Diceros bicornis minor: one gene and its partners. The protein of the gene in region 1 purifies or fractionates together with the protein of each later gene. This does not show direct contact. Links are inferred from orthologs where the notes say so. Each region holds a gene or a part of one and is shown on either strand. Other genes may lie near its edges.

What was found.
Region 2: the proteins of SEC13 (region 1) and NUP37 purify together in Homo sapiens (affinity purification with mass spectrometry; 5 studies listed by BioGRID and IntAct, counting the BioPlex papers as one, with this or other methods). This does not show direct contact. The link is inferred for Diceros bicornis minor from reciprocal best matches to the Homo sapiens genes SEC13 and NUP37.
Region 3: the proteins of SEC13 (region 1) and NUP43 purify together in Homo sapiens (affinity purification with mass spectrometry; 3 studies listed by BioGRID and IntAct, counting the BioPlex papers as one, with this or other methods). This does not show direct contact. The link is inferred for Diceros bicornis minor from reciprocal best matches to the Homo sapiens genes SEC13 and NUP43.
Region 4: the proteins of SEC13 (region 1) and NUP160 purify together in Homo sapiens (affinity purification with mass spectrometry; 4 studies listed by BioGRID and IntAct, counting the BioPlex papers as one, with this or other methods). This does not show direct contact. The link is inferred for Diceros bicornis minor from reciprocal best matches to the Homo sapiens genes SEC13 and NUP160.

Annotation. Positions count from the first base shown.
Region 1 is NC_080741.1:86,341,592-86,349,509, reverse strand, and holds the start of SEC13 (protein SEC13 homolog), read right to left. Parts: upstream 3,004-7,918; 5' UTR 2,927-3,003; coding exon 2,924-2,926; intron 543-2,923; coding exon 498-542; intron 1-497. UniProt on the Homo sapiens protein: Functions as a component of the nuclear pore complex (NPC) and the COPII coat. At the endoplasmic reticulum, SEC13 is involved in the biogenesis of COPII-coated vesicles.
Region 2 is NC_080764.1:21,258,903-21,266,452, reverse strand, and holds the start of NUP37 (nucleoporin Nup37), read right to left. Parts: upstream 3,006-7,550; 5' UTR 2,926-3,005; coding exon 2,770-2,925; intron 1-2,769. UniProt on the Homo sapiens protein: Component of the Nup107-160 subcomplex of the nuclear pore complex (NPC). The Nup107-160 subcomplex is required for the assembly of a functional NPC.
Region 3 is NC_080778.1:28,162,118-28,169,140, reverse strand, and holds the start of NUP43 (nucleoporin Nup43), read left to right. Parts: upstream 1-4,021; 5' UTR 4,022-4,048; coding exon 4,049-4,168; intron 4,169-4,597; coding exon 4,598-4,720; intron 4,721-5,550; coding exon 5,551-5,628; intron 5,629-6,836; coding exon 6,837-7,017; intron 7,018-7,023. Other genes in the region: PCMT1 (protein-L-isoaspartate(D-aspartate) O-methyltransferase), read right to left, coding at 1,821-2,049. UniProt on the Homo sapiens protein: Component of the Nup107-160 subcomplex of the nuclear pore complex (NPC). The Nup107-160 subcomplex is required for the assembly of a functional NPC.
Region 4 is NC_080770.1:22,679,939-22,687,335, forward strand, and holds the start of NUP160 (nuclear pore complex protein Nup160), read left to right. Parts: upstream 1-4,387; 5' UTR 4,388-4,402; coding exon 4,403-4,502; intron 4,503-4,765; coding exon 4,766-4,877; intron 4,878-7,397. UniProt on the Homo sapiens protein: Functions as a component of the nuclear pore complex (NPC). Involved in poly(A)+ RNA transport.

The DNA of each region.
Region 1 (7,918 bases):
GCCTCTCGGAAATGCCCTCAGTTAATGTCTTCTGGGTCAAAGGGTGTCTGTGGTGGTCCTACCTGGCTCTGCCTTGGGCTCTCGCTGTGCCTGGCCTCTGCATTTGTACTGAGTCATCTTCCTCCTCTCTGTTCTTTTAACCCCCTTTCCAATGGGGCTAAGAAGTGGCCTCAGGAAGAAGACAGGTGGGAAGACTATTGTCAAACCTATACCCACTCAGCTTCTATCCCAGAGCAGGTTACTTTGTTGGCCAGAAGACTGAGGGCTTTGAGCTATAAACTAATCCTACGTTCCTCCCACCAGAGAGCGACCAGACTGCCACAGCCCTGCCAACCCACAGGGTGCTGCTGGGAGGCTGACCACACCCCTGAGGCTACAGCCTAACTGGTAAAGGCTGCAAAGCTACACTGGATTCATGAATGATCAACAGAAATGTTTCCCTCCCACAGAAATGCCCATGTCCACAGTGTGGGAGGGAGCGCTAAGGGAATACTTACAATCATGTCCTCGTGGGAGGTGTCCACAGTGTTAATTACTGACACCTAGAACCAAAGTTATCATTGGTAAATGAACTGATGGCAGTTAGAATACAATCATGTCATTAAATCCACAGATCATTTCTAAAGCTCTTGACTTCATTTGTTCATTCATTCATTCAGTAAACATTCACTCTAAGTACCTTCTTTTTGCCAAGGGGTTGGAGATATAGACACAAATAAGAGGTACTTCTTGCCCCTGCGAAGCTTGCACATAAGTAACCTGAACATGGCAAGATAAATGCTCTGACGGTGGTTACGAGTGCTGTAGCAGCCTAATGGGCCACTAGTGGTAGACACCAACTGGGGCTTAGATGAGGAGCAAGTGCCAGGTGGCACTGGGAAAAAACACAGTCCAAGCAGAAGGGGATAACAGGAACCAAGAGGGGGCATAGCAAGCAGTCCTCGCTACCTTTGGGGGTGAAGAGGGTCCCTGAGGGAGCTGTGGCTGGTGTTCCCTTCCAGGATGACAGAGGCTCACATGTTCCAGGCAGTTTTTTGCATAACACGGTTAATACCTAAGACCTGGAGAACTGATTCAAGTTTCTCCTGAGGCTGCTTCCTGGCCCACCCCCTGTGACAGATCTCAGACTGTCACCTACTGATCCCGCTCAAATGATGCCCCCCTTTTTGAAGATTCCCAGATCCCCCAAGTGGCAGGACTCCTCTGAATATCTTCAGCACTGAATGTCTACAACACTTGACGCTGTTTCTTCTCCCAACTAGGTGAGCTCCCTCAAGCCAAGGTCTGCGTTGGCCATAGTTTTGAATCCTCTCAAATCACCCAGCACAATGCTTTGCAACCAGAAGGAATGAATAAGCAAACGAACAAAAACAGACAGTTTTACTTTACTCAACCACTGTTCTCTTCAAACTCCCGGGATTGAAAAGGTTTCAGTTTGGAACTGATATTTCTTACCATTTCCCCATTTCATCCTTTTCCAGCACAAGACCTGCAGGTATAAAGTCTGACTTGACTTTTCAGAAAGGTGAACACTGGAAGAGGATGGCTGCCAAGCAGTCCAAAAGGTACACATCAAGTAAGCACAAGTTCTCTCACCGAAGTCTAGACTCCCTAAAAAGTGGGCCCCCTCGGTCTGCAAAGGCAGGTAAGGAGGATAAAAGAGAAGAGTCTCTTACGTGTGCCAAGCTGTCTAGATTACAAAGTGCCATCACATGTGCAGTGGGAACGATGAAGAGCAGAGTTAATCAGAGCTGCCTGACAGACTAAAGAACTGAAGAAGCCCAGAGAAGAGAAAGCACTTGCCAAAGTCCCAGAGCTAGATAAAGGTGGAGCTGGGAAGAGCCCCACCTGCTAACTCCCAGCCCACCGAGCTTTCCACTCCACTAGTCTGCTCATCTAGAACATAAAGTAGTTGTTACATCCAATGCCCTAAATCACTGGCTGAGGGCTAAGGAGAGTCAGGAAGAAAATTCACTGGTAGTTTCATACCAGCTAACCAAAGGACCTCAGAGATAACCAGCACTTACTTTCAACTACTCTCACACCCCAGACAGGATTGGTGAACCCCGCTTCTCAACAAGTGCTTTTTAAGAAAACAAAACAAAACCCTTTATTAAAAAGTCCTTCCTCCCAAGCACCTCAAGTCGTCTGGTCCTTGTTAAGTATTAAGAAGCAGCCCTCACAATTCAGCTCTTCAGAATCAGTTAACGAGTTAAAAGTCCATTTAGAACGAGCTAACTGTCAGAGCACAAGACCCCAACTCTTCTCAGCAGCTGAGGAACCAGAGGCTAAAGCAGATGCACGATTCGCACCCGCGCCTGCAGGGCAGGAGCTGCAGCCAGCGTCTGGACTCCCGGCTCCCCCGGGCTCCCTCGGGGCGCAGGCACGCCTGCCTTCCCGACCCCCGCGCCGGGCTCAGGCGGCCGTCCCTGCACTCCCGGAGCCGCGCGGAGGGCGCAGACACGGCCCCGCCGCAGGGCCGCGCAGCCCCCCGCACAGCGCCGGGCGCCCGCCACAGCGGCTGCCGAGAGCGGCGGCGGCACCGGGACTGCTCGGGGCGAATCCCGGCTCGGGCCCTCGGCGCGCCGCAGGCCTGGCCTCTGGCCCCGCGGCTCCGCGCCGGTCGGCGGGGACGGCGACGGCGCCCGCTCGAGGGCCGCCGGCGGGCTGACTGCCAACCACGCCGGGCTGCCCCCGGGCTCGGGCGCAGGAGCCCCGCGGGTCGGGGGCTCTTTCCAACCGCCGGGGGGGGAGGAGAGGACAGGCAGGGGCGCGCGGCGCGGCCGCACAACTCCGGCGGGGCCCGGGGCCGCCCCTCTGCACCCCAGCCGCCCGGCGGGGCAGGGCCGGAGCCCCCAGACCTCGGCGCGGCAAGGATCCCGGGAGGCCGCGACCCGCTCGGCGCCCCGGCCCCCACGCTCACCATGTCTGCAGTGTGCCGGCTCCGGCCTCGGACGTGGCAGCTCCCGGCGGCGCCTCCGAAAGCCTCACTTCCGTCGCCGGGCCGGCAGGCCGTGGGGCCCCGGCGCAGGAGCCTCCGGGCAGCAACGCGCCAGCTCACACCAAGGTTCCGCGCTTTCCAAAGGCCGCCCCCACCTCTCCCCCCGCGGCCCCGCCCCTTCTGCTTGCAGAACGCGCGAGACTCGCGGGGTGGGGTTCTCGTTCCCCCGGCGACCCTGACCAGGGGCTTTTGGAATATGAAGATCTAGGCTGTCTTGCTCTGGATCAACCCTTCCCTTTTCCTGAGATCCGTATACGAAAGAAAGGATTCACACCCACAGCGTCACCCGCCTGTCTGCGGTTCTGGGTGCGGCCGGCCTTGTGATGACCATTGTAGGTTGATTAGTTCTGGGGGGAGTCGGGAGACCGGTCCTCGTGCTTCCTTGTTGTTAGTCCCTCCTCAGGACCCAAGGCTGGGACCAGGGGCAGAGAAGTCCAGGAAATGCCCCCTACCAGAGGCTGAGCCCTCTCCAAGCCGGGGGACCCATGCTCCAAACTGCCCCTTCCTCGGAGAGCTGGGATCCCCTGAGTCTGGCTCACAGGTAGAGCCCCCAGGCAAGGAGGGATCTCAGCCAGGCTCCTGCAGCTAGAGCCGGGACCCAAGCCCCGGGGCTCCTGACCCCAATCCCCGCTTCCCACAAGCACAGTGAGAACGCTGCACTGCTGGACAGGGCCGGGGGCTCCCTCAGCCACACAGATCTGGCAGCCCTCGGCCGCTCATGGCAGTAAGGAGTCCGGTGACTAGGGTGGAGACTAGACTCTGCTTGGGTACGTCGCAGTCCCTCCATTTCCTCTTTTGAAACTGGAGGTGAGAACCCTAGCTGGAGAGGGTGCTGCTTGAGGGAAGATGTTAAGGCTCAGAGAGTGGGACACACCCAGACCATCAAGGAGCTTTGGAGCGGGGGCCCAGCGAGTGGCGTCTCACAGAACTCAGGGCTGGGCCTCTGGGCAGCAACCCACCCTTCCACCCCCACCCCAGCTTTCAAGACTCCTCACTTCCCTCTAATGGAGAAATATTGGAGGGGTGTGAAGGCGTGCCGTTAGGGCGGAGCAGCCAACAAAGGGGCGGGGCTCTTGGGCCCCCTGTGTTTCAAGGGACAGGCCCTGGCCTTGGCTCTGTGGCTGCACCAGTGATTCTCTGGGTGATAAGGTCAAATCACTTCTCTCTGAGCCTCGCCTTCCTCAAGTGGACATGGGGACAATGGCATATTAGATATAATACAAATATAATGCATGGGGCATAGTGGTTATTAAAGGAATTCCTTGGTGTTGGCATTGAAGTTGGAGAGACTGGGGATTTGGGACAAGGAATGCAACTGTATCTTATTCATTAGGGTCTTTGCTGGTGGGACTGAAAAGCATTATAACATGGAGGTTTTGAGTGCTGATACTGGGATCAAGACTGCTAAGTATCAGTACTGACTCTCCTACTTACTAGGTGGGCACACCTTCCACCTCTCTGAGCTGCTGTCTCCTCTTCTGTCAAGTGGGAGTTATAATACCTCCTCTGAAGGTGGATCTTGGGATTAAAGGGACCCTTGGATGTGAAACGGTGTTTGGAAGTTGGATGGGCCTGTGGTGCTTGATCTGGGGATCAGTTCTCTCTGAAAAGAGCTGGGATTTGTGTGTGTGTGTGTGTGTGTGTGTGTGTGTGTGTGGTGTGCATGTGCAACCCTCACCCTTTGTACCAACACTGGGACCATCTCTTGATCTGGGCACATTCTCATTCTCCGCTGATGTTCAGCAGAGGTTTGCAAAGTTCAGACTCTTAGGGTGCCAGGCTCCCCTCTGCCTTCCCCTTCCCTAGTAGGGGATGCCACCTACATCCCATGTCCATATCTCCCATCACCTCCCTCTGGTTAATCCCAGACCCCAAATCAGCCCATTCTTAGTTTTCTCCAATTTGTGCCCCTACCTCCCAGACCCTCTGCCCCTGAATCTCCTCCTCCTCCTGAGGCCCCTTCCCCCAAAGTCTTGCTCTCTGGGACTGTCAGCCATTCCTTGTGAAAGGTTAATGACTCATGGCAGGTTAAACTTGTCTCCCTTGAACGGTGGATGTTTGAAAGGTGTGACTAGGTGGAAGGAAAGAGACTTCCCACTGCGCTGTGCACCCTTGGGCAAAGTGCCTTTCCCTCCCAGGGATTCAGTTTCCCCCTAAGTTCAAATCCACGGAGGGTAGGGACCCAGCTAGCCTACGGAAAAAGGCCTTGTGATGTGTACCGTGTCTGCATTTCCATGTGTGCATTTATTGTTATTGCTCAGTATAGTGTTGAAAAGGCAGACAAATCCCATTAATTACAAAGAGCACAAGCCAGAGATACAGAGAAATAAAGAGTGTACAATAAGAGCACAGTCATTTCCCAGCCCCGATTGTCCCAGAGCCCCCCAGAGCCCCCCAGAGCCCAGGCAGCTTGTGGAAGCTGGAGGTGGCACCATTTCCTCGCTACTCTGTTATAAAATATGTGTACACAAGAGTTAGCAAAGTGTGGTGACCCCAGAGAGGAAAGGTCCGGAGGGAGAGCACCACAGGCATTACAAAACAGACTCGGGGCTGAGAAGGGCGGTCCGAAAGCGGCCTCAAATCTCTTGCTTTTGGTGGAGGGGGTGATGGCTGATGCCCAGGGCCTGGGACCCCCCCGGCCCCCACTCGGGTGGGTGGGATCTCTACGTCAACGTCAGGAGAGCTTGCTTTGGAACTTGGAGAAGACTTGGGGATTTTCTGCTGTTGTCTGGTTTAGGCCTTGGCTCTGGAAGACCCAAAAGCCTTCTAGAAATGCAACCCTGCCCTGCTCTTCCAATGGTGGGATCTCAGAGACTGTGGAGAGAGTTTGGGGTGCGAGGCACGTCACAGTGCACCCGGGTGACAGCCTCCTGTAAGTAGAGCGAGAACGGGGAGGGGAGTCCGGGTGGTGAGAAAGGCCAGGCAAGAAACAGCTGCACCCCAAAGGGCCTGTCACCCAACTACTGAAAACTCCGAACGAAGAGCAAGAGTTGACCCTCCCCCAAAGAAAAGCAGTTCAGGAAAGGGAGACAGGAATAAATGTTTCTCCATGAGGAGAATTAGAAATAGAGGCAACTGGGCCCCGCATTCTGGTAGTTCTGGGTCTGGGGGACACCCCTCTTTCTCATCTGGACCAGGGCAGATGGAGGGGCTAGCCCAGCACAACCAAAGGGGGTGACTTTGGGTCTCAAACTGAGATTGGGTGGTGGCTCGGTGGCCTCTCTGATGACACCCTGGCTTAGGGGACAGGTGAGATGATGGGAGGAACATTGGGCTTCCCTCAAGATTCAGGGCGCCCTTTTTGTCTCTCCTCACAGGACACTTTATTTAACGAGCCTGAGTGGACAGTACTTCCAGTGGCGGGATGTTTGCACATAGAATGACAGGGCCCAGTATTTGGGGTGGGAGGAGGGGAGAGGTGGAGGACTTGGCAAAATTTTAAAGTTTACTTGGAAGAGTAGATGTGAGAGAATAACCAGGGAATTTTGTAAATTTTTGTAAAAAACAAAAAAGAGTGAAGGGGACTTGTCCCAGCACATATTAAAACATTATATAAAGCGACAGTAATTAAAACCATGTGGCTGGTGCCAGATGAGACACACAGATAGGGGAACAGAAGAGAAATTCCAGAAACAGACCCACATTTATCTAAGCTGTCAGTCTGCGGTAAAGGGGGCATTTCAGGATGGCTGGGGAAAAGTGTGGCTCTTCAGTAACTGGGATACCCAGGATAAGACAGGTCCAGAGTCCCTGCCCCAGTGCAGTCATTGTCATGAGTCTGGTGTCAGAGGCAGGGCACCCTCCCTCTTGTCAGCTCTATGCTTTGGTTGGGACAAGGGGGCAAGGGGCCATGGTGAGGGGTTGGTGGGAGCAATCGAGGCTGCTTCTGGGTTAGGGAGAGCACTGCTTGAGTCGCAGGAAGGAAACGCCTGAGTTTCCTCCCTGCCCACCTTAAAGGCAGGTGACTCTACAGCCCCAGAGGTCACTGAATGGGCCCCTGCTCGTCCCTCATCTGTTGGAGGGAGACAAGTTGGTGAGCTTAGACCTCAGAAATGAATCTGCTGCCTTCTCCTGGAGCCCCTGTCCAGAAGACAGAAAAGAAGCTAAGAGGGTGGTCCAGTCCCAAACAGAAAAAGTATACATTACAGAGTATATATTTACTATGTTCTGTTTGATGTTGGTTTTTGCCCTTTTTTTTTTTTTTTTTTTTTTTTTACACCACAGACATTTCAGAACCACACTGCTGGAGTAAGAAGAGTCAGCAATTGAAAGCATAACCGTTGCATAGTAGTAAATGAACAGAGACGGTGAGTTCTTTATTTACAATTATTGTCTAGATAAAAAAATTCATAAAAACAGATGAATGGTCATAAATTATTTACCCCCTAATGGGGTGAACTGCCAAACGTACCCCATGCTGCTAGATATAGGACGCAGAGTGCAAGCTTTATGTACTACAGTGAGTTTTGACAAACCAATCATTTCCTGTGTGTGTGGATGTGTGTGCAAGTGTGAGAGTGAGGGTGCGTGGGTGAACAGCCATCATTCCTGACCAGAGAAAACCAACAGCAATGTCGGGCACTCTTGGTAGCGCCGTCGCTCCCTGCTCCTCAAGCTAGGCTCCACTCAGAGAAGCCCCTCCTGTCTTCCTCGCGCGCTGGCTCCAAAGGAACAGGGAGCATGGTGTGCAAGCGCAGCTTCCCTGGTGTCATGGAATAAGGTCATGGACACAAGATTGGAACAAAGAAGCGGGTGGAAAACCTTGACAAAGGAAACGACAAAAAACACCACGTTCCAAGGCTGCCCCATGTTTTACGGGTGCAGGTCTTTCCTTTCTCGGCAGGAGAGCTGTGGGCTGGCTTTTGGCGGTGGTCGTACTGGAATCCAATCTGCGTATCTGAGGGCTGGTCACCCCTT
Region 2 (7,550 bases), on another chromosome or scaffold:
TCCAATCTATTAAACAATATTTGGATTCTGAGCAGAGTTTGACACCCAAAAGGTGCTCAATAAATATTTGTTAAATGAAGTCTGTTATCCAAAACATCAGGTATCTTTCTGTTTCATGTTCTATATAAATTGAATGTGCTCGCCTAAATCAACTGTTCTCATCCAAGTCCCAGTAGAGGCCTCAATTCATTACTGATGACTTTTCAGACTTGGAAACCTTCATGCTTCCTCTGCCCTCTACACATAGGATGTTTATAACAGTTTTCTTATTGTGTTGCTTTACATTTAAACACCTCCTTGATGGCAGGGTCTTTGCTTTTTTAACGTATGCATTACTAGTTCCCAGCACCTGATCTGCACTTAATGAATATTTTACAAATACACGACACCAATCAACAGTACCATCACTCAGCTCAAATTTCTATCATATTTAAAAGAACACCATGAGATTCTGAAAAATGCTTTGTTGATATTCAAATTCACTACATCAAAAGTGTTTTCCTAATAGACTCAGAATGAGGATTGTCTTTCATACAGGAATGTGAAAATCTTTCAATACAACTGACTTTTACTTAGTTTTCTCTCCAAGTGCTATGGAACTTCAAGGTTCTAGCATGAGAACAGGAACAATATTTAATAGTGTTTAATTAGATAAAAAATAACTTCAAAGGGAAGCAATAATGTATTCTGAATCCCCAGGGGCAAATTATTGGAACATATTTCTCCTCCAGAACTGTTTGAACTATGTTTTCAACCTATCTGAATAGCAGTATAGAAGGAAAAGAACAGGGTTTCAAAGAGTCTAGATGTTGTTTTTTCAATTACTAGTCATACAAATCCCTGAACATCTCTGAAGTAGAATGGAAACTCCATGAGGACAGGGATTGGCACAGAATACAATTTGTGTTCACTACTTGTGAAATTAATAAAAATCCAATTCTTTCCTTAGGTAATTTGAGGATAAGATTTACATTGCCAATCTCACAGGTCTGAGGATCAACGGGGACAACCCATATGACTACAAACCATACTGGAACAATACAAACGTTTTCGCTAGTTGTTTTTTCTCATTTTGTCATTTGCCCTCTTTTGCTCTCATTTTTTCTCTCTGCCACCCAGTACTTCTGCCTTTCTTTTTTCCGAATTTTTTTCTCCCTTCTTGACTTTCTCCCTCATTTCTTAGCTGAACATAAATTAGAGATAAAGCGTATTTTTTCAGTATTTTTGAATATAATTCTATGTTCACAGCTGTTAATATTAAAAGTAATGAAGTAAAACGTTAGTTTCACCTGTAGGGGGTTGCTTTATTTTTTTGTAGGTTAGTAGCCTGCATTAGAAATACGGTTTCCCTTCAGTCTTTTTCAAGAGTGTGTTATATTATTTCACTTAATCATGTGACTTTTCATGATCCTAACCTGGTAGTCCAGCTGAAGTCAGGCTGAGGGTCATATTTAGCGTAAAAGCTAGAAATTCCTCCCTCAACCCTAACAGACAAGGTGGGATAACGTAAACGCTCTTGTATTCTACCCAGACACCAAGAAACTGAAGCCTTTAATTCATACTTTCCCCTTAGGATAAATATGCATGCAGTCTAATGCTGTATAACTTTATATATTTATTGCACTGTAAAATGCAAAATTGCATTTATGATGTCAAAATGCTAAAAGATACTGAACTGCTTTTTGAGTAAAAGAGGAAATACTGTTTATAATAATGTCACTTTGGCGATAGTTATTTTAAATCTTTGAAAACTGGTGACTGCCAAATTACCTCATTGATTAACTTTAAGAAATACTGTTCTATGAATAATATTCCGGTACACAAAGGATAAAGATTCCTGGGGTTGAACTCTCATTGTTCAAAGTCTCTCCAACACGTAGAATTAGCTTTCCTGTGAGAAAACACGGTGTGTGCTCACCACAAAGCAATCTTTCTTTGGTGATTAAACATGGGGTTGTACCTCAGCGTCACCACTGACCAAATCAGTGACCGCTAAAACATATACATGTATTATATGCACCAGATGGCTTCCAGGAACATTACATGTACTAACTCATTACAGTCTCACAAAACCGATTAAGTATTATTTTCCTCCTTTTTATAGAAGAGAGGTTAAGTACCTGCTCAAGGTCATATAGCTATTAAGAGGTAAAGGCCGGGCAACGGTAGAAATCTAGGCATTTTGGCTCCAGAGTTCATTGTCTTAATGACCATACTAAACTGTCTGTTCAATAGGAACCAATAAAAAAATAATATGTAAACAAAGTATACTTTGTATACACTAGATGTGTGCTTTAGAAGTATAAAAAGTATGAGAGCATATTAACAGCAAAGCTGAATGTCATGCCAGCTATAAAATCTCCTGCAGGATCATTTGTTAGGCTCTCAACATTAGCTTATTTCCTAAGTCAAAGTGGAATGTAGAAAAATTGGATTAAGCAATTAATTAGATCTTTCTAGTTGGTGTTTTCCCTGTATATACCAATGTTCAGTTAATTGTAACCTTCAATTACCAGAATGTTCCATTTCTAATCATAAGGCAAAAGAGAAGCCTTATATTCTTCTTTTTCACTATCTACTCAACGTTTGCACAAATCTTAGGCATGTATTACTAGGAATATCTTTCTCTGTAGTCCTTCATATCTTTTTTTTTTTTTTACATTCAAACTCAATACACTTTCAAATTCTGGCCAAAGTTTGCCAAAGTTTGTATAAGTTTTATTATCAGTGAAATATCTTTAGTCATTCACTGCAGTTTTGTACACTAACCTGAAATGTACACGTGCCAACGACCACGTAATTACTGCCACCGTAGGCAATTAGGTTTCCTGAATTTCCACTCTCAAAGGGATTAAATTCTACCACATGCACATAATCTTCACAATCCACGGTGTAGGCAGCATTTCTTGTGGCATCTTGCTTCATCTTGTATGTCAAGACTTCAGCAGTTGTACAAATTAAATAGCCTGCTACTGGACAAGGTCATGAAAACTGTGGATTACAATACAGACACAGTTAGATAGAAACCGTCCAAGTGTTAGTCACTTTCAGCAAATGAATCAAAGTAAGGACCTGGCATTGCAAATGCCACAGACAACTCAAAAAAATTGAAAGTATTTATTTAAATACTTTGTGAATGATACCTGCAGAGTAAATCACCATGAAATTCTGTTTAGATTATCTAACAAATAACAGTGAGTCCTTGAAGATGGAATCACTTTAATAGTAAATATATTCATAAAAAATTAATGACAGTTAACATTCACACAGCACTATTTGCAGGTATCATGTTAAATTTTACTGACATTATCACACCTAATATTCGCATAAAGCTAAGAGGGAGGTACTACCTTTGGTTCCCATTTTACAGATGGAGAAATTGAGACTTTAGGAGGTTAACCAGCCTGCCAAACTCATAGGATGAGCCAGAATTTGAAAATACTTTACTATGTGTTGGACCAGTACTGGAGAAGAAAAACACAGCCCCCTACCTTGAAGGAGATCACAATCCAGGGATAGTTATGATTCAGCATGCAAAGTGCTATAGATAAGCGGATACAAAATATAGCACCTGGAGGAAGGAGTGCCAAAATGTGTGATACAAAAATAATATTCACAAAACCAGGCACAACACTTTAATCTGTCATGGCCTGGTGCGCACTCCGGAAGCAGCAGCATTCCCAGATAAGACTTACGGATTATAAAGAGGTCTTTTTTTTTTTTTTTTTAATTGGACGCAAGAGCTGTCCTGAAAACAGCTGGGCTTGGTAACAACCACATCAGGTACCTGATGAGCATTTACTGAGAATCAGATGGGATGAATCCCACCTCAGGGAGCTTATCACCTAGTAACCTCACGAGTGGGCATCCGGGACTGGACATTTGTTAAGCGTGACCAGCAGGTGAGACGCCCGCGGAGGCACAGTGGTGTGGGGAGTGCAAAAGATTCGAGGTCAGCAAACTCGGTGCCCGAGTGCTCTGATTAAAGCAGTGCCCAGTCTCACCGCATTCTCAGGCTCTCACTGTACACAGCGGGCTGGACTTGCCCCCTCTAAAACTGTAAGGGCAGAAAAGGGAGGAAACAGAAGTCCATGCCTAGAGTCCCTACGCCTCTCCCAGTGCTAAGCAAGTCCCGCGAGACCTCGCTACCCCTCTCCGAGCACGAGATCGGAGCGAAGAGGGGTGGGGAACGGCCCGGGGAGAGGAGGAACTCCCAGGGACAGGGTGAGAGAGCGAGGCGGCCGGTAACAAAGCGGCACGGCCCCTTGGGCTCCAGAGCAATACGCACCGTAGGACGCCGAGAAGCAGCCAGTACGCAGCTGATCTCTGCTGGGGGCTACGCCGGCCCGCGCTGGCTCTGCTTCCGGGTCAGAGGGCGGGAGCGGCGATTGGCTCCTGGGCCCTCCCGCGAGATTTAAAATGTAACCCGCGACAACTCGGACAGCCGCTGCACTGCAGCCGGGCAGGAGTTTTCTTCAGTAGAGTCTGTGTGTCACAGGTCTCCCTCGAGCCAGGTGAGTCTTGACTCTTTCTCGTCCGCCTGTCACAATTCAAGTGGTGATTTAAGCCGCGGCTTGGGAGGATTTTTCGGTGACAGTAAAGTGCCGTGTGACCGTCTAGGGTATTATTTGTGCAGTGGCTTCGCGCTGGAGCCTGGTTGGGTCTGGGGATGTTGAACAGAGTCACGGTATCTAGTGATGGATGGAGCTGGAAGGTCCTGAGGGATCATCTGCCGACTGGAAGACTGAGGCCCATAGAGATCTACTTAGGAAACCAGGGTTCTAGTCCCAAGCGTGCGCAGACTCCAATTCCGCCACTTTCCCCGTCTCCCTAGTATATCCTCCCAAGGATCTTTTAGGACCTGCATTCCGCCAATGATAGCGGCAACGACTGCCATTTTTTATTGAGCACCTGCTAAGTGCCCGGCACTATGTGGATTTTTTACTTGTCTCACTAACATCTCCTAGTTGTATGAGTTAGGCGTTATCGTGTCCATTTCACAAATGAAGAAATGTATGTTCATCAGAGATTTTAAATACTAAAGGACATACAGCTAATAAATAGGGGAGTCTGGATATGGACTCTGGTCTGTCTGACTCGCAAGTGTAATTCTTTTAACCATCTCACATTGCCTCCCCAGTGACAATTTTCTGTCTCACAATTTTTGCTCCAGTGCAGCTTGGAATCCAGTTTTTTAAAACAAGTGTTGATTATCACTGCTGCCTTCTACTGCTGTTTTTGTATAGTGCAGCCTGACGTTCAAAGTGCTTGCATATTCACTGTCTCATTGACTTCTCATAACTGGCTGGAAGGTGTTATTCTTGTTTTCTTTGTGTTGATACCTCCACCTAGGCAGTCAGGTGTAAAGCTTATTGCGTAGGCTCACACAGCCAGCTAGCTACTGGAAAAGCTGAGACTAGACCAGGATTGGCAAACCAGTGGCACTGCCTCTTTTTGTGCAGCCAATTCCTGAGCTAAGAATGGATTTTCTATGTTTGAATGGTTGGAAAAAAAAACCAAAAGAAGAATAATATTTTATGACGTGAAAATTACATGAAATTCAAATTTCAGTTTCCATAAAGTTTTGTTGAAGCACAGCTACGCTCATTTGTTTATGTATTGTCTGTGGCTGTTTTCACACTGCAAGGTCGAGTTGAGTAGTTGTGACAGAGATCTTGCGGCCTGCACGCCTCAAATATTTACTATTTGGCTCTTTTCAAAAAGTATGCTGACCCCTGGATGAGACTGTTGGCTTTTATATATGCCAGGCACTGCTCTAAAAACTTAACTTGTATTTATGTCATTTACTTTTCTCAAACCCCCATGAGATAGGAACTATCATTTTCATTTTCAGTACAAGGAAGCCGAGGCAGGAGAGGTGACATAACTTGGCTAAGATCTTACAGCTAGTAAGTCATGGAGCCAGGATTCAGAACAGTCTAATTCCAGCTAGTCTTCATTGTTAGCAACCTGAACTCATAGTGCTTTTAAATAGTACCAGTAAATAACTTACTACTAAAGATTTATTTCAGGCAAACTGATCGTATCACTGGAGTTTTACTTCTTCACTTTCTTTTCTTGTAAGAGATGAGGGTGATAAGGGAAATCTAACTCTTAGCTATTTACTAGGGTTTGTATTTATGTAGATATTTTAATTTATAGTCTTCTACCTGTCTTTAAATTGCATCACTGATTATGTCTATAAATTATTATCTTGTAAATGGCATATGCCCATTTTCTTTTCTTTCTTTTTTTTTTTTTTGCTGGGAAAGATTTGCCCTGAGCTAACGTCTGTTGCCAGTCTTCTTTTTTTTTTTTTCCTCCCCAAAGCCCCAGTACATAGCTGTATATTCTAGTTTTAGGTCCTTCTAGTTCTTCTATGTGAGCCACTCCCACAGCCTGACTACTGAAGATGAGTGGTGTGGTTTCACGCCTGGGAACTGGGCCACGGCCCCCGAAGTGGAGCATGCCGAACTGTAATCACTAGGCCATCAGGGCTGGCTAGCCATATGCCCATTTTCTTGATCATATAAACCCAAGATTCCTAGTAAACATCTGGGATTCTGTTTATGCCACATAAAAAAAGAAGAAAAAGATAGCACAAGGAGTAAGTAAATAGGATGTGTACAGTAAAATACTCAAAATAAGATAATGGCATGTGAATATGTTGGAGACTAGGGTACTTAAAAGAAAGTAGGAACAAAAAACTTTTAGCAGGCATGTCTGTAAACTCAGAGAAAGGAATTGGCTACCTGATATAGGCTTGGGTATGTAAAACATTGCAACTACATCCAATTATTTTGAAAAGCTTTTGTCCGTCAGGAGAAGTTATGCAATATAGTGATTTAAGAGCACAGCTTGCGGAGTTAGGCATCTCGGGTTTAGGTCTATTTGGCCATTTGCTAGCTGAGTGACGTGGGGCATCACCTTCAGATGTAAAATGAGGATAATAATAGACTTCCGCATAGGGCTCTTGTGAAGATTGAATGAAGGAATAAATATTAAGCTTTTGAAAAGTATCTGGCACCAAGAAAGCTCCTAAATATTAGCTATTGTGTTAGTTATCTACTGTTGTGTAACAAACCACCCCGAAACTTGGTGGCTTAAAAACAGCTATTTTATTTGCTTAGGATTCTATAGATCAGCAGTTTGGGCTGGACTCAGGTAGGTGGTTTTGCTGATCTTGCCTGGGATGACTCATGTGTGTGCAGTTCATCTGGCAGGTTGATTGGGGCCAGAAAGTCTAAGATAGCCTCACTCACATGTCTGTAAGTTGGTATTGGTTGTCAGCTGGTGCGCCTTGGTTCTCGTCCATACGGCCTCTCCAGCAGGCTAGCTTGGACTTCTTCATATGGCAGTCTGAGAGTACCAAGAGAGAAGGAACCAAAGCTACAAGGCCTTATGTCAGGAGGCCCCCAAGACCACCCCCAGGTTGGATGATTTGTTAAGAGAACTCAGAGGACTCAGCAGATAGTCGTGCTCAGGGCTATAATTTATAACAGCAAAAAGATACTAAGCAAAATCAGCAGAGGGGGAGAGGGTGCACAGGG
Region 3 (7,023 bases), on another chromosome or scaffold:
AATTTTCAAATTTTATGCCAACTGAAATTTTCACATGAGCAAATGTTACTTTTATAATAAACTAATAAATAAAAATAAAGTCTATTAGCTAGAATTAATTCAGCAAGAAGTTGAAATTAAAGTTGCACAAGTGTTACAAAACAGGCTAAACAATTTGAGTACTCTAATTTCCTCTTACCAATCACAGACCTAGTATAAAACTAAATATTTGCAATACCAGCATGTATATTAAATATTTATTAAATTTTCAGATAGAAAAATATCCTTAGAAATTTCAGCTAAGAATGGTAATGCAATATATTAAAGTGATTATAAAACCACTGGGAAAAGATCTAGTCTTGGCTTACTACAAATTTGGCCCAAAAAAAAAGATTTTAAGAGCCTGATTGATTACAAATTCCTGCCACAGCCAAGTGGCTACTGCGATAACCTACTGGTGGAAAATTACTTAGTCACAATTCTTGTATAGAAGGTTTCCAGTAAGCACACCACAATATAAGGCAGCAGATCATTTTAAGAAATTTTATTAAAATATTTACAACATAATGAGCTTACATGCAATCCATAGGAATCTACATCACACTTCATAATACTGCCTCAGCATATAAATGTCCACTCCCAATCAAATATCCTTTCATAAAGTGAACACTGGCAATGCTCGACAGGATTCTGAAATCTAAATATTCTTCATTACTAAACAGTAAGGACACAATTTCCAAATTTTAAATATTGTAAAAAAAAAAAAGTCAAATGACTAATGTTAAGTATTAACCGTGTGCCAGACAGTACTATTTGTCGCTCATCTTACTATTCCTAGCACAGATCCAAGCATATAGTGTACATTTAATTGGCACAAATGAAAAAAGAAATGAGTATTAAGTTCTTTGATAGGATTCAAAGATATTTACAAAAAAAAAGTCCCTGCCCTCAAGGAGGTCACAAATCGAATTAGGAAACATAAACACATGAAAAGCTAAATAACATATGACACATAGCAGGATATGATTATTCGCAAGTTGTGGCAAAGAGAGTGCTATCAGCTCTGACCGGAGTGAGAGTGGTACGGATTGCGGTTCTTCTGGTCTCCCGACCAGTGGGCGACACTGTATTGCAACGTAAAAAAATAAAGTGACACAGCATTCACCCCACCCCGAAATGATCAGCAGAGGAAGGAATACAATAACCAACGAGAACGGTACAGGAAGACCTGCCGGCAAGGCTTGTAAAGCCCACGGGGCCTGGAAGAAGGCAGAGCATCCACATGCACGACTGCTGATTGGATCTCAGGATGAAACAAGCCTCCTAGGAACAGCATCTCCTGACCACTGCCCCCTCCGACCCCCACGAAGCCTGCCAGTGGACAGCGCCCCAGAACTTTCTCCAGCATCCGCAGTGACAATCCTCTCCCCTCCCTCCCCGCGCCGGTACCTCACCCGGAAGAAAGAACGGGGGGCGGGGGAGGAGGACAGGAGAGAGGGCGCTCCCGCAGCAGAAGGAAGGCGAGGAGGAGCGGGGGCCGGCCCGCATCCCCCACCCCGGGGCACGCCCCCGCCCGCCGGACCCGACGAGAGGCGGTGGACTCGAGTGACAGCCCGCCACCTGTGCCGGCCCCCCTTCCCGCGGCGCCACGCCGCCCCCCGCCCCTCTGGCAGCGGCCCCGGCCCCTGTCTGTCCCCTCCCGAGGAGAGAGAGTGACAGGTCCCGGGGGAGGCGGCCGCACGCGCACGCCGCCCGGGACGGTTGGTGCAACGCTCCGCCGCGGCCCTCCAGTAGGCAGCGCGGCGCAGACAGAACGTTCCGGACGGCGGGGTGGCACTTACTGCGGAGGTTGTGGATCAGCTCCGAGTGGCTGGCGCCGCCGGACTTCCAGGCCATCGCTAAGCACACCCGGAGCAGGAACAGAACGACCTTCAGCGCGGCGACGGTGCCCAGCAGCTTCCCCAAGAGTGAAAACACCTCCCACACAGTCACCGCCCTGCTCGCGTCCCCGATGTCGCCGCCGCTGTGACTGCCGTCGCCCCCGCCGCCGCCACTGCGCGCTCCCGGCATCCCCCGCGGCACGCATGCGCTCTGTGACGCCCCACCGGGGCGCGGCCGGGTGGGGGGGGGCGCGGCCACGTGCCCCGCCGCCCGCGCTGGTGGCCGCTGCGGCAGCCCGGCCGGGCTGAGTCAGCCCCCCGCCGCCGCGCGCCGTCTCCTTGCCGGGTGGCCTGCGGCCAGGCGGGTGGGCACCGGCGCGGCCGGGCGCGTGCCCGGCTGCGGCTCTGGTCACCTGGGGCGGTGGCGGGGCAGCTGGGCCGATCTGGTTCTGCCGCTGCGGAGGCTCCGCAGTCGCGCGGGGTCAGCTGCTGCGAGCGGCGGGTCTGCTCCTATAGCCGTCCAGATTGTTAGACGGTGGGTTTCCTCCGTCCTACCTCACCCAACCCAGTTGACTAATGCATAGGTCGGTTACCGTCTGAGCCTGATTAATCTTGGTAGAACCTTTTCTAACCCGGGTACTCTAGCCTCTGGCTTTGTGACAAGTCCATCAGTGTGTGGTCAGCAGAGACCTTGGGACCTTGGTTTGTTCTCAACTCTCAAGCACAAATTCAGAGTGGAAGAATACCATGACATATGGAGTAGGGTGGAGCGTGGGGGATGCTCTGCTCCTTAGCACAATGCAATTGGTTAAAAATACCACAGTATCCTATGGCGAATGTGTTATTCTCCCGACACGAGTGTGCCTTTTCAGCTAATTAAGCCTTCCGCTGTTAGACTGGACACCAGCTTTATTGCTATCAGCTGTGCAAGACAATGATCGAGAAGCTGACAGGGAACATTGCCTGTCGCATTGGTTGGATTAGGGCACTCCACTCCCTCTGGGTCCCTAGCAGTCTTCTCCAGGCTGAGAGCCTCGGGGGTCTGCTGCCTCCCAGGGTTCCTGGGCTGGCCCTACAGGGCGCACAGTCATCAAGAACTGCTTGGGGGAAGTGAGCTGTTTAGATATTGCTCTGGTGAGTAGAAAGTGGGCACTTGCCCCATTAATGCTTCCTGGCTGGTGGCTTCCATAGCACCCCCATCTCTGCAAATACACTTTACTTTGTAAAAGAACTTCCACTGGTGTAGAGTCTTATTTGACTCACCAGGAGGCGAGCCCACTTGGTTCAGTAACAATACGTCTTGAATGCAATAGGATTTACATTCTAATTGGGGAGATCTGCACCCAAAGAAAACTAGCAATAGAGGGCAAAATATAAGTGCTATTAGTGGTCTAGATATCAAGTGCTATGTTAATTTAGATCGCATGGGCTGGAGTAATAAGGAAAAGATACAGGGCAGAACTGGTCCTTGAAGGATGAGCAAGATTCTGAGAAGGAGAGAGGAATAAAAGGACATTATAGGTGTAATCAAAAGCAGAGAAGAGGGAACCTACAGCACCGGTTCCTGGGCTGTCGACGTTACATATCAAACTCATTCTTAATTATATTCATAAATGAATTGAGGAAGGTTACACAGCTAAGCAATGGGTGTCAAAACTCGAACTGGAGTCTTCAGAATTCCAACTCCAGGCTCTGACAGTGTATTAACAAGGATTTGTTTGGGGGATAAAGAGGGAGAGGTTTAGAACAATAAACTGGTCCGTTAATGGACGTACTTCCTTGACAATGTAAGGACTTTGAATCTCTTTTATGCGCAGTGAAATGCAAGACTGAATGCTTGGGTGTGGCTCTGAGGCGGCTTCTCTTGCATTGATTTCGTTTTGTTTTGGCTCTTCGGTTTGTTTTACAGTGCACGATTATCGCACAAATGCACTGTCTCAGTGTCACTACACTGAGCGTGCACATTAAGAGCAGGTCCTGTAGCACGAGGCCCGTACACTCTTGCTTCTGTTCGGGGTCGCCTCGGTGAGCAGGGGCTGGTGGCGCCCGCAGCGCCGACGGAGGAGGATTGGCTCTCCGCGGCCACCGTCCGCTCGTCGAGTGCGGGCCAATCAGGGCCGCGCGGGAAGGGGCGGGACCGAGAGGCGCGCGGCGCGCTCCTCGCTGTACCTGAGGCGGTCGCTGTCGCCATGGAGGAGATTTATGCCAAGTTTGTGTCTCAGAAAATCAGCAAAACCCGCTGGCGGCCGGTGCCTCCGGGGAGCCTGCAGACCGCAGAGACCTTCGCTACGGGCTCTTGGGACAACGAGGTACCGCCGCCTCATCCCGGTCTCCCGGACCGCGCCTGGCCCCAGCCTCCCTCGCCCTTCTCTGCCCCCGGCCTCCGTCTCGGTTGCCCTGCCTCTCGAGCCATCGACGGTGCGCCTGGGCCTCGCATCTCGTTGTGATTTAAACTGTCACCATGCCTTTTGTCTGAGATGCTTTTTTTTTATTTTTTTAAATTGATGTCATAATAGTTGATACCACTGTGCGATTCCACTTGTACATTATTATTGGTCAGTCACCACATATATGCGCCCCTTCACCCCTTGTGCCCACCTCCCAACCCCCTTCCCCCTGGTAACCACCAGACTGTTCTGAGATGCTTTTAAAGCAAGGTTATTTGAAGGCATTGCGAATTTTAATTTCCGAGAGGTTAAAGTAGATTTCATCTCAGGATAAATCTGTCTATTTTACAGGAAAATCGTGTTTCCCTGTGGTCTATTGGCGATTTTGGGAACTCGGACTCTGATGGAGGGTTTGAAGGAGACCATCAGTTACTGTGTGACATCAAACACCATGGTGACGTGATGGACTTACAGGTAAGTCTGTGGAACGTACGAAAGCTAACTTAAAGAGCGGAGAGTAATACATTGAGAGACGCAAAGGACCGTAAAGTTTGTCTAGACTCGCCCCGGTTTACAGGAGACTGAGTTCTCTATAGGTTATGATTTGCCAAAATCATGACTGGGGAAGGAGATGTAGATTTAAGCATAGTTTTTTAATCCTTTTTTTAATTAACTGACCTTCTGCTATGTGCCAAGCACTGTTCTGGGAGCTTTACATAAGTTAGTTTAATTCTCATCACATGCTTGTGAATCAGGTATTATGTCTTTTACCAGTGAGAAAACAGACTAAGACCTTTTGGGCATGTACTATGTGACAAATACTGTGCAAGGCACTTGACAGGTTTTGCTTTTTGAGTTCTCATAACAACCCCCTAAGTAAGGATTAGTTCTTTCCTCTTAAAGGTTTGCCAGGACTTAGAGAACTTAACTTGGCGACAGTCTCAAAGTCAGTAGTAAGTGGTGGCAATGGAATTAAGTTTTTAAATCCTGGTCTGCATGACTTCAAAGTCCTGGCAGTCCTGATTCTGTAGAAAGCTCCCTAACCCTGGAATGATACTTTTCTAAACCTTTACGGTAGTGGTCCAAAATTAAATCAATTATAGGTGAATGAGTTTAGGGAAAAAATTATTGTTATTTATTCTTCATGAAAATACTTTTATTTGTATAGCAGTTTTGACTTTCAGATCTATCATCAGATTTTATTTGCTTAGCATTTATAGCTCTTCACATCTTAAAATTGTTATACTACTGAGTTAAACTACTAATATTTCTGAATCTATAACGAGCAGGAATTTTCTGTTTAGTTTTTTGACCAGGAAAGGATTGTAGCTGCTTCATCAACAGGATGTGTAACAGTTTTCCTTCACCATCCAAATAACCAGGTAAAGAACTTTTTTTGAAAACTGAATTTGTATTTTAATTATTTATAGGAAGGCTTAAAGAAGACTGTACTTAATGACACAAATAAAAAGTTTTATAGCCTGAAAACATGGAGAGGAAAAATATCACCATTATATTACCTATCTTTTAGTAGATTAATTCTAGAACCATGTTTGTGTGAGCTTTTATTGAAATTCGACATCTCTTAAATAAATTCTGTTAGTTTAGAACTAACAATATGGTATTCTGGCAAGTGATTTTCCAGTAATTCTCTGTTTTAAGTTTCTATTCTAATCTTTTGAAGAAAAAAAGAGCACATTCTAGCTAAGGTATCATGAGAGAGAACAAGAACAGCTACTTTACTTCTGTGGATAGAACCCAGGTTTTAATTAGAAGAGAGGATACACTCTATGAAGACTTGGCACTTTTTCAATGCCTTTCGTGTATGCTGAAGCCCACAAGTGGTCACTTTCAAAGAGTAGCAGTGAGGGCAAATCTTTACAATAGCCCCACTTGTAGTAATAGTTTTCAGTTGCTAGAAGAGAGTGCTTATTTAGATTTTTGGATTAATAAAGGTCACCTTGTGGATAGGCATATGTAGTAAATATAAGACCCAGATCTTGTTAAATATTTTTCTGAATCGAGTCATTTAGAAAGCACTACAGGGAGTTATTTTTTACATGTAGGCTAATTCTCTTAAGAATTTAGAGTTACTTTTGAACACATGACTACCTGGTACCTAAAACCCATTTCTTTACTTTGCTATATTGGGCCAGCCCCGTGGCTTAGCGGTTAAGTGCACGTGCTCCACTGCTGGTGGCCCGGGTTCGGATCCCGGGCGTACACCGAAGCACCGCTTCTCCGGCCATGCTGAGGCCATGTCCCACATACAGCAACTAGAAGGATGTGCAGCTATGACATACAACTATCTACTGGAGCTTTGGGGGAAAAATAAATAAATAAAATTATAGTTTGCTATAAATGTGGGACATTATTGAGCAGCATTCATTTTGAATCTAATCCAGTGTATACAGAGCTTTGTAGAGTAGTTCTAGACTTTATTACTCGGAAATACAAACAAAAAAGGAGAGAGTTATTCTTTTTCTCGAAGGGTATGAGACAGAATTTAAAAATACTCTTGAGTTGGGGAAAAGTGCTAGGTGTTTAGAGCTTTGCTTTGGTTAATCATCTGCTCGTTTCTGATGCCCAGACTCTGTCAGTCAGCCAGCAGTGGACGGCCGCTCACTACCACACGAGCCCAGGCAGCCCCTCCTGTTGCAGTGCACCCTGCACGGGTATCGTGTGCAGCAACCCAGAAATTGTCACAGTTGGAGAAGATGGTCGGATAAATCTTTTCAGGGCTGATCACAAGGAGGCTGTGAGAACTATAGGTGAGA
Region 4 (7,397 bases), on another chromosome or scaffold:
AATTCCCCATGGCCACTGACCGAGTGTCCCACAAATTTAACTCAATTCTCACACTATCTACCTGGAGATTGCATCAGATTCCACAGACTAATGGCTCAGTCCCAAAAGACTGCCCCCACTTCAGATGCCAATTGCAAGTCTAGGTTGTCACCTGTGCTTCTGACCCACTGGCTACAAATCGGAGGTTCCCACAACCCTCTCCTTGGGTTCAATTAATTTGCTAGAGGGGCTCACAGAACTCAGGAGACCAATTTACTTACTAGATTACCAGTTTATTATAAAGAATATCAAAGGAGGGGCCGGCCTGGTGGTGCAAGCAGTCAAATGCACACGCTCTGCTGCAGAAGTCTGAGGGCTCGCTGGTTCGGATCCTGGGCGCACACCCACGCACTGCTCATCAAGCCATGCTGTGGTGGCGTCCCATATAAAGTAGAGGAAGATGGGCGTGGACGTTAGCCCAGGGCCAGTCTTCCTCAGCAAAAAGAGGAGGATTTGCAGATGTTAGCTCAGGGCCGATCTTCGTCACACACACACACACAAAAGAATATCAAAGGAATCGAATGAACAGACAAATGAAGAGATACACAGAGTGGGGTCTTGAATGCAGGAGCTTCTGTCCCTGTGGAGTTTAGGGCCTGGCACACCGATGCATCCTAGTTCACCAACCTGGAAGCTCTCTGAACTTCCCCCCTCTGGGCTTTTATGGAGGCTTCATTGCATAGGTATGATTGATTAAATCATTGGCCATTGGTGACTTAATTCAATCTCCAGCCCCTCTTCCCTCCCTTAAAGTTCCAGCCCTCTAATCACGTGGTTGGTTCCCCTGGCAACCAGCCACCTCCTTAGGTTACCTAGGGACTTTCCAAAAGTTACCTCATTAACGTAACAAAAGACATCTTTAGCTCTCTCATGTTTAGGGAATTCCAAGGGTTTTAGGAGCTCTGCGCCAGGAACAGGGATAAAGACCAAATATAATATTCTCATTATAAATCACAATATCACCGAGGTGATTAGGTGATAAAGGCGGAGCCCTCATGAATAGTATTAGTGTCCTAATAAGAGACCCCAGAGAGCTCCCTTGCCCTTTCCACAATTTGAGGACACAGCAAGAAGGTGGCTGGCTATAACCCAGGAAGCAGGCCCTCACTGAATCTGCTGGTGCCTTGATCTTGGACTTCCTAGCCTCCAAAACCGTGAGAAGGAAATGTTAGTTGTTGAAGCCACTCAGCCTTTAGTATTTTGTTACAGCATTCCAAGAAGAAACACAACAATATAAGCGATGAATAGGAACTGTTATCTCACAGTGTATTTGTAAAACGAAGAGGCAGGCAGAGCAAGAACAGATTAAGATCAATAGGGAGTTGTTTCAATGATCTGAGAAGGAAATGTGGAAGACTGTAGGAGGAAAATGAAACAGGCAAACAGCCATTGATGATTAAACAGCTAGTAACTATGGGGGATTGGAATTTGCCAACTCAAAATATGTCTCTGCCCGAATGACATTTGACCCCCACCCCCACTAACTGAGCAAAGGAGTTTGGGATGGGAGGCCTGCCCACAGAAAAGGCCATTACTATAGACATCTCTGGGTACCTGGGTGGGTCGTGATAAACCCATCCTTAGTTCTAGTAACCCTTTATGAGAGACATTTACATTGGTAAAGAAAGTCTCCATTTGTAAAGGTATCTTCTTCCCTGCACCAGGAAGAAGGGGGGATGGCCTTACCTAGAAACTTATCAGAATGGAAGGAGAGGACTTAAATCTGCATGATAAACTTATTCATTGTTAACTGTGCTGTTTGGGCAATATGCTATCTGACTCCCACTAGGTTCCTATAGATGACATCTCCCTGGAGCCTGGATTACCATGGTAATGGGTGTTTGAGCTATTTTTTTTCAGGAACTGAGCCCTTTGTCCACTTCAGGCCAGACTGAGACCACCAACCCATCAACTGGGCCCTTTTGATGGCAAGAGGTTGGAACTCCACCCTCAGGGCATGTTAATGCCGCCATTCTGTGACCATGTGTCCTACGAAGAAACATGAAGCCTGACTACACTTGCGCAGATCATCAATGACCTCATCTCTCCTCACCTCCAATCATTTCAGACCACATTGCCCCCTACCCCATAAATACCCCTGAGCCCCTATTTTTGGGGAAGCGGATTTGAGACTTGTTCTCCCGTTTTTCTCACTTGGCTGCCTTGTGATTAAATCCTCTCTCTCTGCAATCTCGTTGTCTCGGTGATTGGCTTTCTGGGTGGCTGGCAAAAATGGACCTGGTGCAGTAACAAAAAGTTCCTGATATCTATTGCTGCCTAACAAACTACCCAAAAACTTAGTGACTTAAAATACCGACCATAGGGGGCTGGTCCCATGGCCGAGTGGTTAAAGCTGCCTGTGCTCTGCTTCCAAGGCCTGGGTTCACGCGTTCAGATCTCGGGCGCGGACCTACACACCACTCATCAAGCCAAGCTGTAGCAGGCATCCCACATATAAAGTAGAGGAAGATGGGCACAGATGTTAGCCCAGGGCCAATCTTCCTCAGCAAAAAGAGGAGGATGGGCAACACATGTCAGCTCAGGGCTAATCCTCCTCACACACAAAAAAAAGATGCTGGGAAGGAGGGAGGGGTGGTGGTAGAGGAAATTCTCTTTGGATTGCATTAATTTTCTAACTGAAGAAGCAGGCTGAGTGAAGATGAGGAAGTGTCACCGGCTCTGGGCCTCCAGAAACTCAAAGGTGGGTTTGGAAGCAATTAACTGTTTTTCCAAGTTGTTTCTTTTCCTTTTGTGTGTTAAGGAGACGTAACCAGCAGCCATCCTGAAACTGACCAAGCCTTATTTTTAATGCAAAGATCTCTCCAGGAGGAGCTTAGGCCTCATTATGTGGAAGCATGTTCTCCAACTGAGCCTGTGCAAGCGAATACCCAGCTCCCCCTTTTGAATATTCATTCCCCAACCAAATAAAAGTTCCTGTCTTCCTTGGTTCGGAGAAGCCATGACTTTGGAAATGATTCCTTATGGCCTCCTACTTGCTGCAAATCACGCTTTACTTTGGGAGACAACTTCCACTGGTGCAGTCTTATTTAACTCACCAGGAGGCGAGCCCACTTGGTTCCGTCTCAGAGGGAGGTGTTGGATGAGTTGCGAAATACTCATCTAGGAAGGTATACAGACAAGGCAAACACAATGCTACAATGTCTGCTGGGCAGCAGTATGAGCCCCCCCAAGGTTTAGAATCATGATGGAGGCAGAGGGAGTGTGTCAGTGTAGCTGTATATGTCTCTCCAGGCCTGTTCAGCTGCCAATTTGGAGTTAATCAAAGTCGTGTTTTTTTACTGGAGAATGCAGATAGACAGCTAGGCAAGAGACTAAATTTAAATGGAATATAAGCAGAGCAAGAAGGAAACATCAAGGAAGTGAGGGACAGTGAAAAGGTGGTAGAAACAATGGATTGGAATGGAGGGATTCCCTTGCTAGAGGTGGTGTCCTAGAAAGAGTGAGGTGGAAAGATATGGGAGAGTGGTCAGAATAGGTTGAATGAAACACAGAATGATAAGGAAGGATTTCGGTCATTGGTAATGAATAAGAAGTAATAACAGACGTGCTTAACAAACGTTGACCATCAAGGGGGAAAAAAAAACCTTTCCCCCTGAAAATTAGCATTTTCCTCAATATTGAGCTTTACTCTGCTCTAGACATGGGTAAAGCTGCAGTATCTTCCAAACATCCAGATCACAGGTGGAACAAAGGCAAATTCCTTTCAGGTATGCAAAGGAACAGCATTTAGGGAATCTCAACAGGTTGCGGCATCCATGTTTAATTGCACACATCACGTTTTATTATACGAGCATATAGAATTCATTATACAAGAATTCCAACACGGAAGGCCCCTCTCCTCTTCATTCCCCCCCATCCCACGTGTCGCTGAAGGGTGAAGAAAAGGAGAGATTCGCAGGCCGACACCACGACGCAGGGAGAGGTGACCGCAAGCTCGGAATCCGGCAGGGGGCGCCCATGTGCCCGGCCTCGCCGGCCCTCGCCCCTCCCGGGAGGCTCAGCCCCCCGCCCGCGCGGCGTTTTCAAACTGGAAACAAGCCCGGCCCCGCCCCCTGCCTGAGGCGGCCGGGAAGAGGGCACCGCCCCCCGGAGGCGTCCCACCCGGCCACGCGAAGGTCCCCGGAGGGAGGGCCGGCTCCCCGCCCCTTTCTCAGCTGGCTTCCTCGCTGCCCACCCTCATACCCCCGCCAACTCCATTGAAGCCTCCAAACGACGGGTCGACCCCGCCCCTCTGCTCCCCCGGCCTCGCCACCTGTGCGCGTCTCCCCGCCCCGCCCCCGGAAGTGACGACAGCCGCCCGGCCTGCCAGTGTCCCGTCGGGCCTCGCGGCGGCGGCGGGAAGATGGCGGCGGCGGGAGCCATAGAACGGAGCTTCGTGGAGCTCAGCGGAGCTGAGCGCGAAAGGCCGAGGCACTTTCGAGAATTCACAGTCTGCGGCGTTGGTACGGAAGCAGCCAAGGAGGGCGCGATCCTGTCCTTTCCCTCGGGTTCCCCTCATGGGTCCCCAAATCTCTGACCCCCTAGTTCATCTTCCTGAATCCACATGCCTGTAGCTCCGGGTGCAGAGCTCCCTTAGTGTCTTCCTTGTTTTCTTCCCTTTCTTTTTGTAGGAATTGTCAATCTGTTACCCTCTGCTTTCTCAGCGCCATCAGTCCCTGTCATCCCCCGAGAACCACGTGTGTGGCTGACCACTCTCCTTTTGCAGGGACTGCAAATGCCTTGGCCGGAGCAGTCAAATACAGTGAGAGTGCGGGAGGCTTCTACTATGTGGAAAGTGGCAAGTTGTTCTCCGTCACCAGAAACAGGTTCATCCATTGGTAAGTACTGTGTTCGCCAAACCCCTAGGGTGGTTCGGCGTTTGAATTTCCGTGGCTGTTCCCCAAGTGTCATTCTCCGAAACGGTAATCGATAGGAAAAGAGAAAAACTGTTTTCTATTCATATCTGAATCAGGAGAAAATTAAGGAGACACACAATTCTAGGAGAGATACCCTCCCAGGCAGCAGTAGAAGCAGAGGAAATGTAGCTTAGAGGATAAAGCCTCAAAGACCAGTTTTGTACATGGACCCATTATGTTTTTATAGTGCGTTATGGCTTTCTTCACTCTACAAATATGTTTGAGCTTTTATACATCAGGCATTGCTAGGTGTACTAGGGATGAAGTGATGAACAAAAACAACCACCATTTTCATCGTGCAAGATGTTGTAGCAGTGTAATGATAGATGTGGACCCACCCTTTATGGGGCAGTATTTTTTTTTGTTATAATTTTACTTATTTATTTTATTTTTCCCCCCAAAGCCCCAGTAGATAGTTGTATGTCATAGCTGCACATCCCTCTAGTTGCTGTATGTGGGACATGGCCTCAGCATGGCCGGAGAAGGGGTGCGTCGGTGCGCGCCCGGAATCCGAACCTGGGCCGCCAGCAGCGGAGTGCACGCGCTTAACCGCTAAGCCTTGGGGCCAGCCCTGTGGGGCAGTTTTAAAAAGAAAAAGACTGATGATCACAATATAGGTACACAAATACAAACTTTTCATGCTTACTTCAAAGGAAAAGTATAGGGACTATGAGAGGCTAATAGGAGGACTAAATTTTATTGGTAGGGCTGGGAAAGCCTTTAAGAAAGTCACATTTAACCTGAGATCTGAAGGATGGAAGGGTAGCCAGGCAGGCGGTTGGGAGAGAGAGCAGTTCAGCAAGTGGGATCACCATATGCAAAGTCGGTGAGGTAGAAAGAGCTTGGCAGGTTTGAGGAATTGACTGAAGGTCTGTGTGGCTTGAGTGCAGTGGGTGAAAGGGAAAGTGATGTGAAAGATGCTGAGACTGGGGAGGTAGGCAGGACTCAGATCATGAAGGACCCTCAGGTCCTTTTTAAGGATTTTGGATTTTATCCTAAGTACATTGAGCACTCATTGAAGGGTTTTAAAGGGTTACTAACATGATCAACGTTGTATTTTTTAAAAAATCAGTCTGCTTTGTGGAAAGTGGATTTGGGTTGAATGGGTATAATACAAAAGAACAGTTTGCTTTTATGATGGCCCAAGTAAGAGACGCTGGTGACCCAATTGTAAGAGTGGTTAGGAAAAGAAAAATAGATGAATTTAAGATGCGTTTAGAAAGTAGATTCACTAGGACTTGGTGATAGATTGAATATGGGGTGGGGGATGGTAAGGGAAAAGGAGGGAGCAAGGGCAACTCCCTGGTGTCTCATGTGGCCAGTCAGATATTGGGTGGAGCAGTTGCCATTTACTGAGATGCAGAAGACGAGTTTAGAGAGATGTGAATAATGCTTTTAGATGTACTACATTTGAAGTATCTATGTAGCAGCCCTTTGGCAATGTCAAGTAGGTGTTGAAATTTGCAGGACTGAAGCTCAGAAGAAAGGCCTGTGTTAGAGATACAGATCTCATTTATTTAAGAAATATTTTTGAGTGCCTAATGAATTCTAGTTAATGTTTAGGGACTGGTATAGGGGAGGGACAAAGCTGACAAAGTCCCTGCTTTCATGGAGGGAGACGCACTAAACAATAACCAAAGAAACCATGTAAATATAGTTTGTCAGATGATAAGTGGAATAGAGAACGGGGAAGCAAGATAAGAGGGGAGGGGAACACCTATGGGTGTTAATATTTTATATAGGTTAGTCGGGCAATACCCAGGGATAAGTTGACATTTGAGCAGAGGAAGTAAAGATATTTGGGGGACAAGAATTTCAGGTAGAAACTTTCAAGAAAAAGGAACCAACAGTGCAAAGAACTCTGAGACAGCAACTTGTTTGTTGTGTTCAAAGAATGGCAAGGGGCCAGGAGTCTGCAGCTGAGTGAAGAAAGGATAGGATAATAAGAAAGGTAACCCAGGGCCAGATCAAGGCTTTGTCAGTTATTTTAGGCTTTGACTTTTACTCTGAGTGAGATAGGAAGGTTTTAATTGGAGAAATGACATGATCTAAGTTGTGGGGTATTTTTGTTTTGTTTTTTGTTTTTTTGCTGAGGAAGATTTGCTCTGAGCTAAGATCTGTTGCCGAAGATTAGCCCTGATCTAACACCTGTGCCAGTCTTCCTCTATTTTTTATGTGGGACGCCGCCACAGCAGGGCTGGTGAGTGGAGTAGGTCCATGCCCAGGATCCAAACCCGGCCACCGAAGTGGAGCGTGTGGAACTTTAACAACTCAGCTACAAGGCTGGGCCCTCTAAGTTATGTTTTTAACGGATTGGTGTGGCTGTGGGTTGAGAACAGAGTGTAGTGGGAAAAGAGTGGGAGCAGGGAGACTGATTAGGAGGTTGGTGCCACAGTCCAGGCAAGAGAAGATGGCAGCTTAGACCAGCATGGTGTCGGTAGA